Linked DNA regions of Astyanax mexicanus. The protein of the gene in region 1 interacts with the protein of each later gene in a pairwise test. Links are inferred from orthologs where the notes say so. Each region holds a gene or a part of one and is shown on either strand. Other genes may lie near its edges.

Evidence for each region.
Region 2: the proteins of cep72 (region 1) and pin4 interact in binary tests that used the Homo sapiens proteins (3 or more experiments, as listed by UniProt). The two-hybrid records come from large-scale screens. The link is inferred for Astyanax mexicanus from reciprocal best matches to the Homo sapiens genes CEP72 and PIN4.

What each region holds. Positions count from the first base shown.
Region 1 is NC_064408.1:122,668,057-122,676,401, reverse strand, and holds the start of cep72 (centrosomal protein of 72 kDa), read right to left. Parts: upstream 3,115-8,345; 5' UTR 3,108-3,114; coding exon 2,999-3,107; intron 472-2,998; coding exon 338-471; intron 1-337. Other genes in the region: spire1b (protein spire homolog 1), read left to right, coding at 5,032-5,317, 7,017-7,048. UniProt on the Homo sapiens protein: Involved in the recruitment of key centrosomal proteins to the centrosome.
Region 2 is NC_064417.1:41,568,103-41,576,599, reverse strand, and holds pin4 (peptidyl-prolyl cis-trans isomerase NIMA-interacting 4), read right to left. Parts: upstream 3,293-8,497; 5' UTR 2,969-3,292; coding exon 2,932-2,968; intron 2,496-2,931; coding exon 2,425-2,495; intron 1,649-2,424; coding exon 1,529-1,648; intron 633-1,528; coding exon 474-632; 3' UTR 319-473; downstream 1-318. Other genes in the region: nek12 (NIMA-related kinase 12), read left to right, coding at 4,435-5,644, 6,405-6,596, 6,870-7,033.

The DNA of each region.
Region 1 (8,345 bases):
TTCCCATGATATATCTACTAGAGACAGATTATATCAGTAGTATCATCTGGATTCTGACTTCTGTTACAATTCTGATACAATCCTTGTATTTTTTTAATATCTCATTATTAGGGGTTTGCCATATCATATCATATGCAATAATAACATTTAATATTCATTTTGTTGCAGTAGTGTATTCTGGAAATATTTTTTATTTAACTCAGTGTTTTGTCATATCGTTATTGTCATATCATGTTATGTCATATCATATTGTCGTATCGTTATCACGAAAAAAAAAACATGAAATATTGTGATATTATTTTAGGGCCATATCACCCACCCCTAGTGTGTATCTTACCTGAACTGAATCCAGTACATTGTAAGAGAGATCCAGACTTTTCAGACGGACAAAATTCTTCAGAGAGATTCCCAGATGACAGATCTTCCCCGTTTCATATCCAGATCCAGGGAGGCTCAGTGATCGGACATCCGCTGTGGGTTCAAACAGAAACTGATAAATTAACTATAGATAATCAATCAATCAAGAGCCTGACTATGCTTTAGGTCGCGAAAGTCACAGTCCGTACTGTCAGCTACATTTTCCATTGTGAGGAACATAGTGAGGAAATGGAAGAACCACAGGCACAGGTCTAGTTAAGAACTGAAGCTGCAGAACAAGAAAGATCTCAGATAATCAGAGGAGAAGGATGGTGAGAACAGTCATAGTCAACAAACAGACCTCCAGAGCTCCAAAGACATCATCATCATCTTACTGCAGATGGAGTCACTGTGCATCGTTTAAACAAGGAGAGGCTGTATGGGAGAAAATTAATGTAGAAGAAGCCTTTTCTGAGCACACGCCACAAACAGAGTCGCTTCAGGTATGCTAAAGCTAAAGCACATTTGGAATAAGGTTCTGTGGACTGATGAAACTAAAATTTCAGGGTTATTTGGAGGGTGGTTATTTATATGCACAGAGGAAAAAGTACACAGTATTCCAACACAATCACTTTACTGCTCCCCACAGTAAAATTAGTGCCAGTTCCATCATGCTTTGGGGCTGTGGGACCAGTGCAGGTACCGGGAATCTTGTTAAAGTTGAGGGTCGCATGGATTTCAGTCAATATCAGCAGAGTCTTGAGAACAAGAATCAGTGAGAAAGTTGAAGTTTGAAGCGCCGGGGCTGGATACTTTAACAAGACAACGACCCTAAACACTAAACACTACTCAAAATCTACTAAAGCACTAAAGCATTCATGCAGAGCAACAAAAATTACAACGTTCTGGAATGATCATCTCAGACCCCAGATCTGAATATTATTGAAATATAATCTGTGGTGTGATTTAAAGCAGCTGTTCATGATCATAAACCTGAATCAAACCTGACTGAACAGATGATGTTTTGTAAAGAAGAATGATCCAAAATACCTTCAACAAGAGGCCAGACTTTCAATGGAAGCTATAGGAAGAGTTTAAATGCTGTTTAGATTTCTGCAAAAGGAGGATCTCTACTAAATATTGATTTGATTTTTCTGCTGGGTTGCTGAAATTTACGCACCTGCCTAATTTTGTTTAAATAATTATTGCACACTTTCTGTAGATCCTATAAACTTAATTTTTTTTACTTCTTCGCTATATCTTACTTTGTCTGATATATGATATATTTAACTAAAATTGCTAATCCGAGCAATCAATGGTGTATAAAGGAAAATAATGAAAATTATCAGGGGTGACCAAACTTTTTTTTTATACCACTGTAAAATCAAAATCAAAATTTAGACTTGTTCATATATTTGAAGAATTCTTTTTTTTATATATATATATATAACTGTCCAGCCCTAGCTTGAATAACATAAACAAACTATCATAAACATAAACAAAATATTGATCAACATCATGTTACGATACGTCAACGGTAGGGGTGTGCCATATCATATCGTACGCGATAATATCGCCAACATTTTTGAATATCGTGAACGATATTATACCCTGAAATATCGTGCCATAACACTCACCCCTAATTATCACTTTTTTATCCTACTTTTTTGCTGATTAAGCGAAAAAAAAAGTCACACATTTCTCATTTACAATTAAATATCTACTAGAGACAGATTATATCTGTCCAGTATCATTTATTTTACTTTAATCCTGGATATATGGAGATATTTGGAGTGCATTATTATTAGTATCATGACATTCTGGATCATTGACTTCTGTTACAAATCTGATAAAATTATTGTATTTTATTTTATATGTCAGTTAGGGGTGTGCTGTATCATAACGTATACAATAATAAAATGTAAGTTTTGTTTTGTTGCAGTAGTGTATTTTTTATTTTTATGTTTTTGTCATATCGGCAAGAGTATCGTTATTGTGATAAGACCGTGAAATATCGTGATATTACTTTTGGGGCCATATCGCCCACCCCTAGTCAACAGCGTAATTATCGCGACAGCCCTTGTTCTCTTTAGTTCTAATTCTGCATTTATTTGGCTTACAATGAGTGAATGTGCAAATAAAGGCTGGTGAGTTTGCTGGTCTGATATCTCCATGTTCGCAGTAGCTCTAGTATCAGCACTATTAGCAGCACCATAGTTAATCGGGTAACCAGCAACAGCTTAAGGTTTCATAGTCAGAAAAAGCTCCTGTTGAGACCTAATTACCAGACCACTAACTGTGTTTTTAGAATGAATATACTGTATGTGGCTTGGCAGGAATAGTAGCAGAAGCACACTGACGCTATTTATCAGGATATTTTCCCTTTTCCAAACTCAGAAACACTATTATTATCAATTTAAAAGACAAAACTTTAAGGACTGCTGCTTTAAACTAAGGTAACTAGATTAGCTAAATTAACTAGCTAACGTTACAAATTACTGTTTACCTGCGCGACAACGGTGCTAGCTTGAAAACACTGTGCGATTTAAACGCTTTAAAGCGTTTATAACATACGTATAAGATAGTGATACGGTTAATAAAGGTGTGTAGAGTCTGTACAGATATATAAAGTGAAGTTTACCCAGACAGCGGTGCTGCAGGCTGAGCTTTTCCCGGATCCACTGCTCTGTTACTGATACGCTATCTGCCGCCATGGTTTCAAACGGCCGGAGGAGACGCGCTCTGCGCATGCGCCTCACTCAGCTGCGCCCTAGCTCTGTAAACGGCGGTGTCCCAAACTGAAGGGAGCTCAGAAAAAGGGAGCAGCCTCTGGATTAAGGGCTCCGAAACCCAAACTGACGCTTCCACAGGATCACTTGCGCTCTTTTACATATTAGAGTTTTAAGTTCTGAAGCTTTATTTCCATTTAAGACGGGTAGGATAACATATTGAACCTTCCTGCCTCCGAATACCGCCTAAGTAGGCAGCGTGGGTGCGATTTAGGACACATCCAGCTAATCAGAGCCGTGTAGATAGAGATGGCTATATTTTAACACTGATTATCTCCCCATAACAATGACTGATCGCCCTCTTGTGTTTTTGTGATGGTAGTACCTTAAAACAATGTGGGACAACACCATAGCAACACACTAGCAACCACCTGAAACACCACAACAACCACATAGAAAGCACTTTCAATATCGCACAACCACCCTAACAAGCAAGCACTTCGGAAACTATAGCAACTACCTAGCAGCAACAGCATCTCGACCACCCGGGATGCCATAGCAACTGCTGAGCTACAGCATACTCTACCTAGCAACCACCTAGCAACCACCTGGGACAAGTAAGTACTGGCTTAATATCGGGATGAAACAGGATGACACCAGCAAGCAAGTTCAAAGAAACCACATTTGATACCATACCAACTGCTTAACAACAGCATAGCACCTCCAAGCATAGGAAGAATAGCAATAACCAAGCAACTGCATGGTAACCACCTAGGACACCTGGGTGGCTGGCATGTACGCTTAGGTATTTTGGGTGGTTGTCATAGAGTTAGAAAGTTGTTAAAGTGTGGTTACTGTGGTGTTACTCTGTGGTTACTATAGTACTTCAGGCAAGTGACAATATATTTGTTTATTTTGAAGAATATGCTAACAAAATAAATGTTAAATGTTTTATTTAGCATAACAATTTTAAATATTTATTAGACAAAAACAAGCAATCTTACCAAGATTCACCAAGTAACTTATTGTATAAAACTATTTGCACAAAATATATATCAAAAATTATACAAAAATATCCCTAAAGCTTTACAGTAAAAAAAAAAAAAAAAAAATATATATATATATATATATATATATATATATATATATATATATATATTATAATTAGATTAAATTTAGTACAAACAGAAAATCTGTAAGCCTTCGTAAACAGCAGGAGCTGACCAAGATAATAACGTGCATATAATATTTTGTATAAAATAATAATAATACATATGTTATAAATTAAATTAAAATAATGCAAAGTAACAAAAAAATATACTAAAACACAAAAGTGAGGAATACATTATATCCTTTGTCTATCAGTAAGTGACCAAGATAGTACATTACTTATCATCAAAAATAAATAAGTAAATAAAATTAATTAATTAATAAAAAAATATTTGGGGCTATTTTTATAAGTAAGTATAAGTACATAACTGACAGAGATACGTATGAAGTGATAAGAATATATTCAATATTTTTAATATTCACCTTTTTAATATGTTTTCGTTATATATATATATATATATATATATATATATATATATATATATATACGTATATATATATATATATATATATATATATACGTATATATATATATATATATATATATATATATATATACATATATATATATATATATATACACGTATATATATATATATATATACGTGTATATATATATATATATATATATATATATATATATTGTGTGTTCAGTGCTGAGGCCCCGCCCCTCTCTGCGCTGCGCGGTCATGTGATTGGTGTGTTGTGCTGAGCTGCGCTTTCGGGGCGGGTGGGCAGTATTGGGCAGTATTGGGCTCTGAATGACCACAGATACTGATACCCACGCGGACAGCGCGAGCGGAGGATGAGCAGAGGATGAGGAGAGGATGAGAGGATGTCTGCGCGCGAGCTGATGGAGGCCAGGGTGCGCGAGGAGGAGGAGGAGGAGGAGGAGGATGAAGATGAAGGAGAGGAGCTGACTCTGCAGGAGATACTGACCCTCTATAACCAGCCCATAAATGAGGAGCAGGCCTGGGCCGTGTGCTACCAGTGCTGCCGGACCCTGGCGGAGCGGGGCGGCCCGGGACCCAGGCGCGCGGGGCTGCACCCCCGGGGGGTCATCGAGGGTCCGGAGGACGTGTGGATACACCAGAACGGCACAGTGCGGCTTCAGCCCGCAGGTAAACACTGATCTCCTGCATCCCATAATCACATAACTGCAATAACCAGCTGCAGAAAAATCTGTGCATCCTCTGCAGGGTGCATGCACCAGCACGTGCGTGCATGCATGCATGTGTGAATGCGTGCAAGCATGCATGTGTGAATGCGTGCATGCATGCATTTGTTGTTTGTGCGTTTAGCACAGTGAGCACTCTATGGAAGCTCCAGTAGGCATCATCACCATCTGCATCTCGAGCCCCGTGAAGGAATGGCTGGTTATATAACACAGTGCATTCAGTCAGGCCTGCAGTCGCGAGCGCGAGAGAGGGCAGTGTGTTAATGATCTGACAATGTAAACACTGTGATGTATGGATAGGGATGAGTATGAATAGATATGTATGGATGGATATGAGTAGCTATGTATGGATGGGTATGTGTATGAATAGATGGGTATGAGTAGCTATGTATGGATGGGTGTAAATGGGTATGTATAGATGGGTATGGCTATGTATTATGGGTATATACAGATTAGAATGGGTATGGGAATGTATAAGGATGGATACAGATTAATGGCTAAGGGTATGCATGGATGAGTATCGGCATGTATTATGGGTATATACAGATTAGAATGGGAATGTATAAGAATGTTTAAGTATAGATACAGATTGATGGCTAATGGTATGTATGGATGGGTATTTCTATGTGTGGTTTATTCTGGATTAGAGAATTACAGGATTACAGGTTAGAAAAGGTATAGATATGGATGGATACAGATGAGTATGAATTGTTAGGAAGGTTATGGATTAGGATGGATGTGTATGGACAGATATGGATGGATTTTATTGTTTATGAATATGGATATGAATTAGTATGGATGGTTGGGGATGGGCATAGATGGGTATATATTATAAACTTACAATTGAGTGAATTCAAACTGATTAGAAAAAGAATAAATCTGATGCTGTAACCGATCTAATGTCTGAGCTAATGGCCTACTGTTCCCATCTCAAGTGAAAACATCTAAAACTCTCTGGCTGTGGCTTTAAAGTGCCCGCTCTTCAGGAATGCTGTGTGTTTACGGTGTAATTAGATGGAGCTAAGTGAGTTAATAGGTGTACCCTTTGAGTACACAGCCACAGGCAGCACACACACACTGTGTACACCATCTCTAACATGGCCTGAATGGGCGTGTCCAGTATTCACATCACTCTTAGTTTCACTTTTCTGGCCTCAGAGACGTGATAGGGGAAGAAACAGCAGCTTGTTTTTCTTAATCAGGACCAGCACAGGTTCAGAGCACAGCCTGGCCTGGTGTGTTCTCTGCTCTGACTCACTCCTCAGCTGATTAACAGGCTCCTGATGAGCTGGCGCAGGTGTGATACAGCAGGAAAGACACTAAACTAGGTCTGCACTAAATACAGCGCCATGAAATTGAATGAAAGTACCATCCCTTTCAACACAACTGCACTGTGTAGGCCTTCTTCTGTAGGCTCTGGTAAAATATTTCATATGCTGCTTCTGTGTCCCTCAGCTTGTCCAGAAAAGCAAGTGTACAGCTGATATGTTATGTTTGGTGTCTAAAATAAGCTTGTGTGGTCTTACTCAATATATTGCAATCAAAGGAAAAACGCTAAACCCTGTAGGCCTTAATAATCAATAAACATCATCCAAATTTGTGCTTGTCCGGTAATGACAGTGCTGCTCTTTCTTATTCCGCAGGTAAAGGCCAGGCGGCATCCTCAGCAGTGTGGGTGAGTACAGCTACTCTATATCAACACTGATAACTTCCTAAACAGGGACTGTCATTGGACAATGGCAGTACTGGGAACAAGACTGCTCATTCCTTGTGTCTTCTGAAATCAATGGTATTAAAAAGAGTAAAAGAAACACAGTAACCGAAAAAATAAGAGAGCACTTAAAAATAATGAGCTTCTTTGATTTTACCAAATTATACCAAAAACCTCTGGAATATAATTAAGAGGAAGATGGATGATCACAAGTCATCAAACCACCAAACTGAACTGCTTAAATTTTAGTTTGAAACATAAAGTTATCCAAAAGCAGTGTGTAAGACTGGTGGAGGAGAACATGATGCCGAGATGCATGAAAACTGTGATTAAAAACCAGGGTTATTCCACCAAATATTGATTTCTGAACTGAATGTGAACTTGTTTTCTTTGGATTATTTGAGGTCTGAAAGCTCTGCATCTTTTTTGTAATTTTTAGTTATTTCTTATTTTCTGCAAATAAATGCTCTAAAATAAATGCTCTTTATTTTGGAATTTGGGAGAAATGTTGTCTGTAGTTTATAGAATAAAACAACAATGTTCATTTTACTCAAACATAAACCTATAAATAGCAAAATCAGAGAAACTGATTCAGAAACTGAAGTGCGACCTTCATTTTTACAGAGATCTATCTATGTAAAAAACCAAACCAAACAGAGGGAGAAACGCTCCAAATAAACAAACTCATCAACTGATCCAGACCATAGAAATTTTCACAACTACAGGTGTGAAAACGCTCTTTTATACTCAGCAAATTCTAAGTTCTAATTCAGAAATCCCTACAACCAAGCTGAGATGTTTATAATAAAGTAAAAAAAGTTTCCTCTATTCAATTTATCATGTATTCTTTATTCCAGCGCCCCACGTTGGCAGTATATGCTAGTATTTTAGTTGACACCACTAAAATAAGTATAATTAGATTTTACATTACTTACATTCATTCTTTAATTTACATTTAAACATCCACTATAAAAACATGCGTCCTAAGAAGAACAAGTGTGATTAATCACATTTAATCACATAAAATAATGTGATGGACACGCCCAATATGTAAATAGCATGACCAGCATCCATGTTTAACTAAAGAGCCAAATTGAGCATGTGCAGTAGTGCAAAGAAAGTTGGACTGACCTCAACTAGGGTTCTACAACTATAGTGACAATTATCCAACCCACTCATTAGGACTCCCCCTATCAATAATGATGGCCCAACAACAGGAGGGTAAAGACCAGCACAGGCCTCCTCTGATACATGTGAAGTC
Region 2 (8,497 bases), on another chromosome or scaffold:
TGTCTTACAAAAAAGCTGTGTCTGCTATAAGGTATACATATAAAGGTGCTCAGTTTGACAATGTGTTGTCAAAAAGGTACTGTTCCTTATCAGATATTCAACACAAATGTGATAAGACTGATCAAAAAAATACTTACCATGAACATTAAGCCATTTCTTACTCTGAAATGATCAGTCTTTGTAATTTTTATGACAGTGGAAGGAAGGCATTAAGTCCCACATGGTCTCACATTGCTGACTCAACACTGCCCCACACCCTTTAGACAAGTAAGTCACTGTTGCATTGTGAACAACCAAGAATGACAATCACATTAAGAGTTCACATTTTTCAGTTTTTATTAACTGATATTTACACGGTTTAAAAAAAATACAGCCAGTGTTACAAAATAATCTGCTGCTCACATTACTGCAAAGCAACTGAGGAAAAAAAGCCACCAAGCAAAGCTTCCTAATTTGGCCATCAAATACAGGGGTCACTTTTTGCCTTCCACCATGATGATGTGGTATCCAAACTTTGTTTTCACGGGAGGATCTGTGTATACTGGTTTATCCATTGTGCTGATGGGTAGTGCAAACGCAGCATCCTGAAATGGTCCCACCATTGATCCTCTTGTCATCCAGCCAAGGTCACCCTGCCAAATGCAAAACAAACTTTCTTAGGCTAAGTTTAGGCAGATTCAGAAATCTGATCCCTGTCCAGAGGACACATTATTTGGTCTTTTAATCTAATCAATACATTAAAAAAGAAAATTACATTTCAATCAGAATAGTGACACATTAACCTAAGTATTTAAGTAAACACCATGTACTGAATATATCCGGGCACTAATGTACTTGTAAAGGTACCAAATAACATGTAATTATGGAATTCAAATTACAGAATAGAAGAAGAAAGGGAAACTGAACCAGTAAATAGTTTTAAAAAAATAAAATTAGTCTGAAAGCCTTTTCCAATGGTAAGAAACAAAGCAGGTGGGATCCTGCCATCTACTGGTAAACAAGAAGAATAACTGAACCTTCAATTTGCAAATGATATACCCAGCTGTAGTAATAAGAAAATTATTCTTTAATCAATATAATACCAAATCTAATATTCCAAAATCAGTACTAAACATTTTGAAAAGTTATACTGTGCACAACAAGGTTGATCTTTTCTGCAAAATCCATGTCAGACCACACAGAATGTTTTTATTTATATTTTATTTATTTATAAGAATTATTATTGAATTAAAGCTTGTGCAAACTTGCACAAACAGTTTAATGCTAAGAGCTTTTAAGTTTGTCAGCATAATAATTGCAATATATTTCATATGATCAAACAGAATCAGTTCCCTGTGTAAAGAAAACTGTGCTATATCTGTACTGAGCTACACATTTATTTCTAGAGGGTCTGATCACTGCATAGTTTTGAATGTGGCACACCCAATTCATCCTTAAGTTAATTTAAGAAATCTTTTGTGTAATAAAGGCAGGAATAACATCCAAGAATTATGATTAAAGGTCTATTCTGCAGTTTGTGTCTGCTTACTCCTTGTCTAGCCTTGTCTTCACTGTATTGTGATGCCACTTCACTAAATCGCACTCCAGACTTCAGTTTCTCCATTGCCTCCATGCATTTCCCATGCTTTTCACAAAGAATATGCCGAACCTGTTTGGGGCGAAATGAACAAACATCATTTTAAGTTACACTTACAAACTTTACACTGACATGCATCATTTCAACTATATTCAACAATTCACCACAGGTAATGAGACGAATGTCACATCAGTAAGGAACGTGCACATCTCTCTCTCTCTGTCTTTCTCTCTCTCTCTCTCTCTCTCTCTCTCTCTCTCTCTCTATCTATCTATCTATCTATCTATATATCTATCTATCTATATATATATATATATATATATATGGAAAAAATAGAATGGGAGTGGCATTTTCAAGCATCTGCACAAGTCTAAAGTCACCATACCTAGTGCACGGGTTACTGAAAGCACTGGGCTGTGTTTTCTTAAGTAATTAACATCATTGATCAACAGATGTGATTCAGAGATATGCCCAATTTTACAGTACAGCCATATTAAACAACTGTTTCTGCTGCAAAGGATAGACAAGCTGCCTATTAAAATCCTTTATTTGAGATGATACGTAAGATGAACAGATAATCACAAACATTTGGACATAAAGTGACAGTTTCTCAGACAGAGATTAGTCCAAGTCTTACACATGATTTAAAATGCAGATTTTCAATTGAGAATTAAGCAAAAAAAAAAATATATATATATATAGTCAAGGTATGACTATGCTTAATCCTAAAACTAAAAGGAACGTATCTATTTATCTGTCTGTCTATGCATGTTAAAATGTGTAACTCTTAGCTAACCTACCTAGTCAGCTAATAACATTAAACCATATAAATTAACCATGTAGTTTACCTTTACTGCAGTCCCTCCTTTCTGGGCTTTCTCTTTCTTATCTGTGTCTCCACTACCGGAGGCAGCAGCTCCTGTTTAAAAAAAGGCTTTATTAAATTATGAGACCATAGACTTTTATAAACTTCACATCTGCTCAGTTATCAGTTTACCTCATGGCTACCTAGGCTAGCACAAGTGCAGCTACTAGTATAGCCAGGTAGCAATATTTTAACAAAATCTGCTCACTTCAGTTCAAATTCACATACACTGGCCAATAAATTGATATATAGCTAGGTTAGATAAGCTAACAAAATATCTGGTTATTTCGTGTACATAGTACGTTAGCTTAGCTACAGTCGTGGCTAGCTTGCTAATATTTAGCAACAGTACGATGGCAGTGTTGCTAATGCTAGTTAGTTAGTTTAGCTAACGCTGGCTCCAAAACAAAACCAAATGCACTTCAGAAAGAATCGACTAGCTGCGACATCTATTTCTAATAATAAGTTGCCATTAAACCACAAAGCTCACCTTTTGCACCTTTGCCACCCTTTCCTTTAGGTGGCATTTCTGATAACTAGCTAGCAGTTAGCCTTGTACCCTACACCAGCACGACTCACTACACAGCACAGGAGAGCTATGTTGCCAGGTTCTTTTTTCGAATCCCCCCTGTAGGCCTCCGCTGTTGATTTAGGATATTTAGGATAAAATAGAAATAATTAAAATATAAGATAAAAAATCTCAAAAGCACATATTATAACATATAAATAAACAATAAACCGAAATATTAATCTTATTTACAATTTTCCCAATTCTCCCATTCTCCCTATTTTTTTTACTTATCAGGCATAAACTGATTTGTTTTCTTCTGTTAAAGCCAAACGCGATTAGAATTACAACAGTATGGTGAGCACACGAACAGGAGGTAGGGGGTTTTACAAAATAAATGCACTTAATTAACAAATGATAAATACAGAATTAACCTTTTATGGTATGTGGGTCCTTGATTTTTTTGTATTAGTTAACAGTTCATATAATTTATTTTTGTAGCACTCCATATATATCTTGTGCAGTGTATATAAAAAAACTAAGCCATATAAATAATAAACATTTGATATAATGTGTTTTTTTTCTATAGTATTTTATTTTACACATAATTTGGTAATAAACTGACATCCTCAAATTCTGAGGAGCCACTTGGCAGCTGACTCTTTTTAGTGAGCCGGGCCAAAAGAACTGACTTTTTAAATGCTAACTAATTGGGATATATATATATATATATATATATATATATATATATATATATATATATATATATTAATTTCTGCAATTATGTTGTAATGTTTAGCCAAAATTGTAATGCTATTAAATTATGAGAACTGTTAACATAAAACCATTCTTGTGAACTTAAAATTCAATTATTTTCATCATAGCAGATTCTACGCAGTGTTGGAGAGACAGCAGTGTGAAGAGGGGAGCCCTCTCAGCCAATCAGAAAACAGCTTGTTCAAGCAAGTCGTTGTTGCCAGGGGGATGACTTTACCCCTACCCAAACAAACCGCGAGCGGAGATGACAGTTGACGTTGGACAGCTAACGATAAATTAGTAAGAAAAGCAGATAACTAGCTAAATGACTAAACAGATAATTTAACGTTACAAATAATATATTTAGATAGCTAAACGTATTAACGCTATGTAGCTATGTTCTATTGGAAAATAGCGTGAAAATACACGGGTTTGAGTTAGCTAACTACAAGTGTCTCTTTATAGCAAGCTGACGTTTTGAGCGTTATCAAAAAGGTGCCTGTAGCTAGGTTAACCTAATCTAAATCTAGGTTATATAGTTAGATAATGAGCGGACTGCAGGAAGGAAAGCTGCAGGAAAGTGGAAATGGGATATAACTACATTAATTCATAGAAAAGAACAGATAGTCAGTGTGAAATCTCTGCCCAACACAACGGAAAAACACAGTATGGTGGTTTAATTACTTTTTCAGTTTAAATTACACTTTTATAGCCAGTTAGCTACTAAACATGGAAACATATGAGCAAATTCTCACTCTTGGAAGTGGTGGAGCAGGAGTCGTCCTGCTGATGAGACATAAAGAGACAAATAAGCTCTATGCTGTGAAAAGAATACAGGTAGACAACTCTCGAAAGACAAAGACCAAAGAGGCTGTGTTACAAGAGGCTGAAATTCTGAGGAATCTCAAGCACCCCCACATTGTGACATGGAGTGACACCTTTTATGACACAGCAAATGAGCTCATTTACATTGCTATGGACTACTGTGATGGTGGGACCCTGGATGACCAGATAAAAGGAAGAAAGCCAGATGAGTACTTCTCCGAACACGTGACTATGAAGTGGTTTGTGCAAGTGCTCATGGCAGTCAGCTACATCCACTCCAAAAAAATTCTCCACAGAGACATCAAAACCTCCAACATTCTCCTAACCAAGCGGGGGATGATCAAGCTTGGAGATTTTGGAATATCTAAGATAATGAGCCACACACTGGATATGGCTTCCACCTGTGTAGGAACACCCTGTTACCTCAGTCCTGAGTTATGCCAGGACATTCCATACAGCACCAAATCTGACATATGGGCTCTTGGCTGCTTACTGTATGAACTTTGCACACTCAAACCAGCTTTCTGGGCTAGAAATCTGCTGAATTTGTTCTACAAGATAATAAAGGGTGAATACAGCCCAGCTCCAGATCAGTACTCAAAAGACCTTCACTCTCTCATTGAGAAAATGCTTTGCTTGGTTCCTGAGAACAGGCCGAGTGCTAGCAGCATCCTGGGCATGCCCTATGTCCAAGAACATCTCGGCCAATTCATTGAGCACCAAGAGACAGAACTGACTAAGGTTAATGTTGAATCCAGGCCTCAGACAAGACAAGTATGTGTTCCAGAGGACATATCTGCTGTAAAGAGTGAAGATGCAACATTATCCTGGAAGGACACTGTTGTTTATATGGAAATGCCCACTCTGCAAGAATCACCAAGTATGAAAGGAGATGATGAGGCAGCTCTTGTTGTGGAGGAGGAGTTGGCCCACGCTACAACTGAGTCTGATTATTCAGAAGACTTTGAAGAAAACGAGAGCTTGTCATCTGTTGAAGGTACTTCAAGGAAGGATGCCTCCTTCAGTCCTGAGCGTCCGTTTGAGGAGGAGTCGCAGGGTCGCAGCTATGAAGATGAGAAATCCTTAGATATGCACTGTCAAGTTGGGTCTGAATGTATGCTTTTCATTTTGGGTTTATTATAACTATGATGTGTGTAAACTAGGTCACACTGGTCTGATACCAGGTATCAGGTACCAGCTTATATCAGAATATTAGCAGGAAATGCTGGGTTGGATATTTTGTATTTTTATACAGGAATCTAATTAAATCATATAAGAAGTGTAGTTTGAAACAGCACACACTATGCTGAACTGAGCATGATAGGCTGCTTTTATAGTAGATGCAAATATTGCTAATCTTTAGAATCTTTAAGATTCTAGTGTAGCGCTGCTAATAAATACGTAACTTAAACTACAGTCACCAGATGTGAGTTAAATCCATCTGGCAAAAAGGGCAGTGAACTAAATGAAAAACACTGACAAAAATTATTTTCAAAACTGTATTTAAGGGTTTCTTTACTTCGGATCAGCCTCTTCTGACATTGAAGCCAAGAAATTCAGCCTAACATTCGATAGTTTTGTCAAAAATATATGATTTTGATACATATTAAGTGGGTTAAGAAATTTGTTTAGTGTTTGTTAGCAATGCTAGCCCAGCATCTCCCAATGTATAGAGGCGAACCTTAGGTACAACGTATCAAGACCTTGTCTAATGGACTGCAAATGAGAATGATAATAATGTATGGTAATGTTTTTGGTAATGTAACAATCAGTTTACTATATGCATTTAATCTTTGTTAAAAACCTTTCCTAGGATGAATGAAGAGCATGTTATGCCTATTAACATTTGTGTGGTATATGACTGTGTGTTACAGCTCCTCCTGATGTGGATGTGGATGCTATGGAATACCCAGATGACTTTGAGGATGCTGAGGAGGAGGAGTTGGCTGAAGTGGTGAGCTGTGCCCGAAATGCCATTCAGTCCCTATCAGAAGATGATACCCTGGAGCTGAAAGATTCTGGTGGCCTTTCCGTCACCATGAGAACTCTAAAAGATAAGTACATTGGTCAGTATGCACATCTTAATTCAGAATACATAACTTGTTTGTATATAATATTATTTTCTCTGCTTAGGAAAGTCATGATAATTACTGGATTGACATAATGTACAATGTACAGTACAATAAGTAGTTTTAGTAGAAAATGATCTGTGTTTTGAACAGTATATGGTAATTTTAGTAATTTAGTAATTTAGTCATTTGTTCAGTGATAACTCAATGTCTTTTTTCTTTTTGAAAAAGCAATCTTATTATATGATATGTATATACTGACTTTTGCAGAGGATGTTGGGCCCTTACTGTATGAGGAGATCAGTGGGCACTTTCTGAATGGCTTGAAACCAGAAGACCTGCAGCCCCAGTTCCAGCACACGATAGGGACTGACCATCTGGAGACCTGCTATCTTATATTCAACATTGAACAGGAGGGTACTACTACATGTTGAGCAGGCAGCCGTTTTATTGGGATGGGCTGAAATTTGATTAAAACGTTTTGTTCATTATTAAAATTATTTATGCTCATGGTAATATATTTTTCTAAAGTATGTGTTTTTTTAATTAAAATTAACATACAGGGCTAAATAGCAGGGACTTCCCCTAAGCACTACATTGCATAACCAATAGATGGCAGTCTACAGTTAGAAAATGGAATATAAAGAAAAAAAGCAGGCTTTGTTTGTTGTGTGTTCTGCTGTTGCTGTTGCTCTTTTTTATTATTATATCATATCATCACTGTCCAATGAAAAACATGTATCTCCAAAACAGCAGATTTACAGAAGAGCTTTCAATGAGAGTCAATGTTAAAAGAGTTTATTTTGGGTTTAGGAGAATTTTTATTAGTCTATTCATAAAGAAATGTTGACACAATGTAAGGGACTGCTTATGTGTTCAAAATATGAAGTAAACTGAAAATTAACAAATGCAAAAAAACATTTTTAATTGGGCAGCCATGATATATTCTATTTTAGCACTTTCATTATGCTAGTATTACAACAATCACACATAATACTTTGATATAATTTGCAGATGATGGTGTTTTAATGATTATAATTATGATGATAATGATTAGTAATGGTGGGAACAAAGAAAGAGAACCAAATAAAATACTGCCAGATAGGAACCCAAAAAGGGAATATATACAAAAAAGAGTGTTTTTTTATGAAAGGAACGTTGAAATAAAAAGGAAATAGCTCCTAGAGTGGCCTCACTGCATTATACTTTACAACAAGATAAGAGAAATATCCCTGACAAGGAGCAACGCTAACATGCGAGAGCTGAAACATGTTTTCCACATAGTTCCCTCCCTTTTATCAGGGAATGATCATACCCCCTGAATACTACTGAGTAAATACTGTACATCCGATGAAAGTGCACCAGATGTCTGGCCATGTCTCACTTCTTTGAGCGGTAATATAAAGCAGAAGTGAGAGGCACGTTTTGTACATTTGTAAATTGATGGGCTGCAGCTGCTGATCCACTTCACATATGTTTCCTCCTCCTTCTCACTGGCCTCACTCATTCTAAAGGGAAATTACATCAATATATGGAAAAAGGTGTCACACACGTGAGTGCTGTATGTTGCCAAATGGCTTGTGCCATAAAAAACACATATATATTTACTTCACTTTTTTCTTTAAGTGACATTTTGCAGTTTGGCAGTACGTTTTGTGTGTATACATACAGTATATTTATCTGTTTAGGTGAAACCCATTCAGGTTTCATTTATAAAAAAAAAACATTTTGACTAAATACAACTGGTACAGTTTTTCTTGTAAAAATTCTCAGTTTTATGATAAGTAAATGTATATCAGTTATCTTTTTGCGCTGTTCTTTCTCTGGCATGGAATGAGTGTACAACATATATCTGATTTTCCAAAGAAAAAAAAAAAAACAACAACAAAAAAACAAGA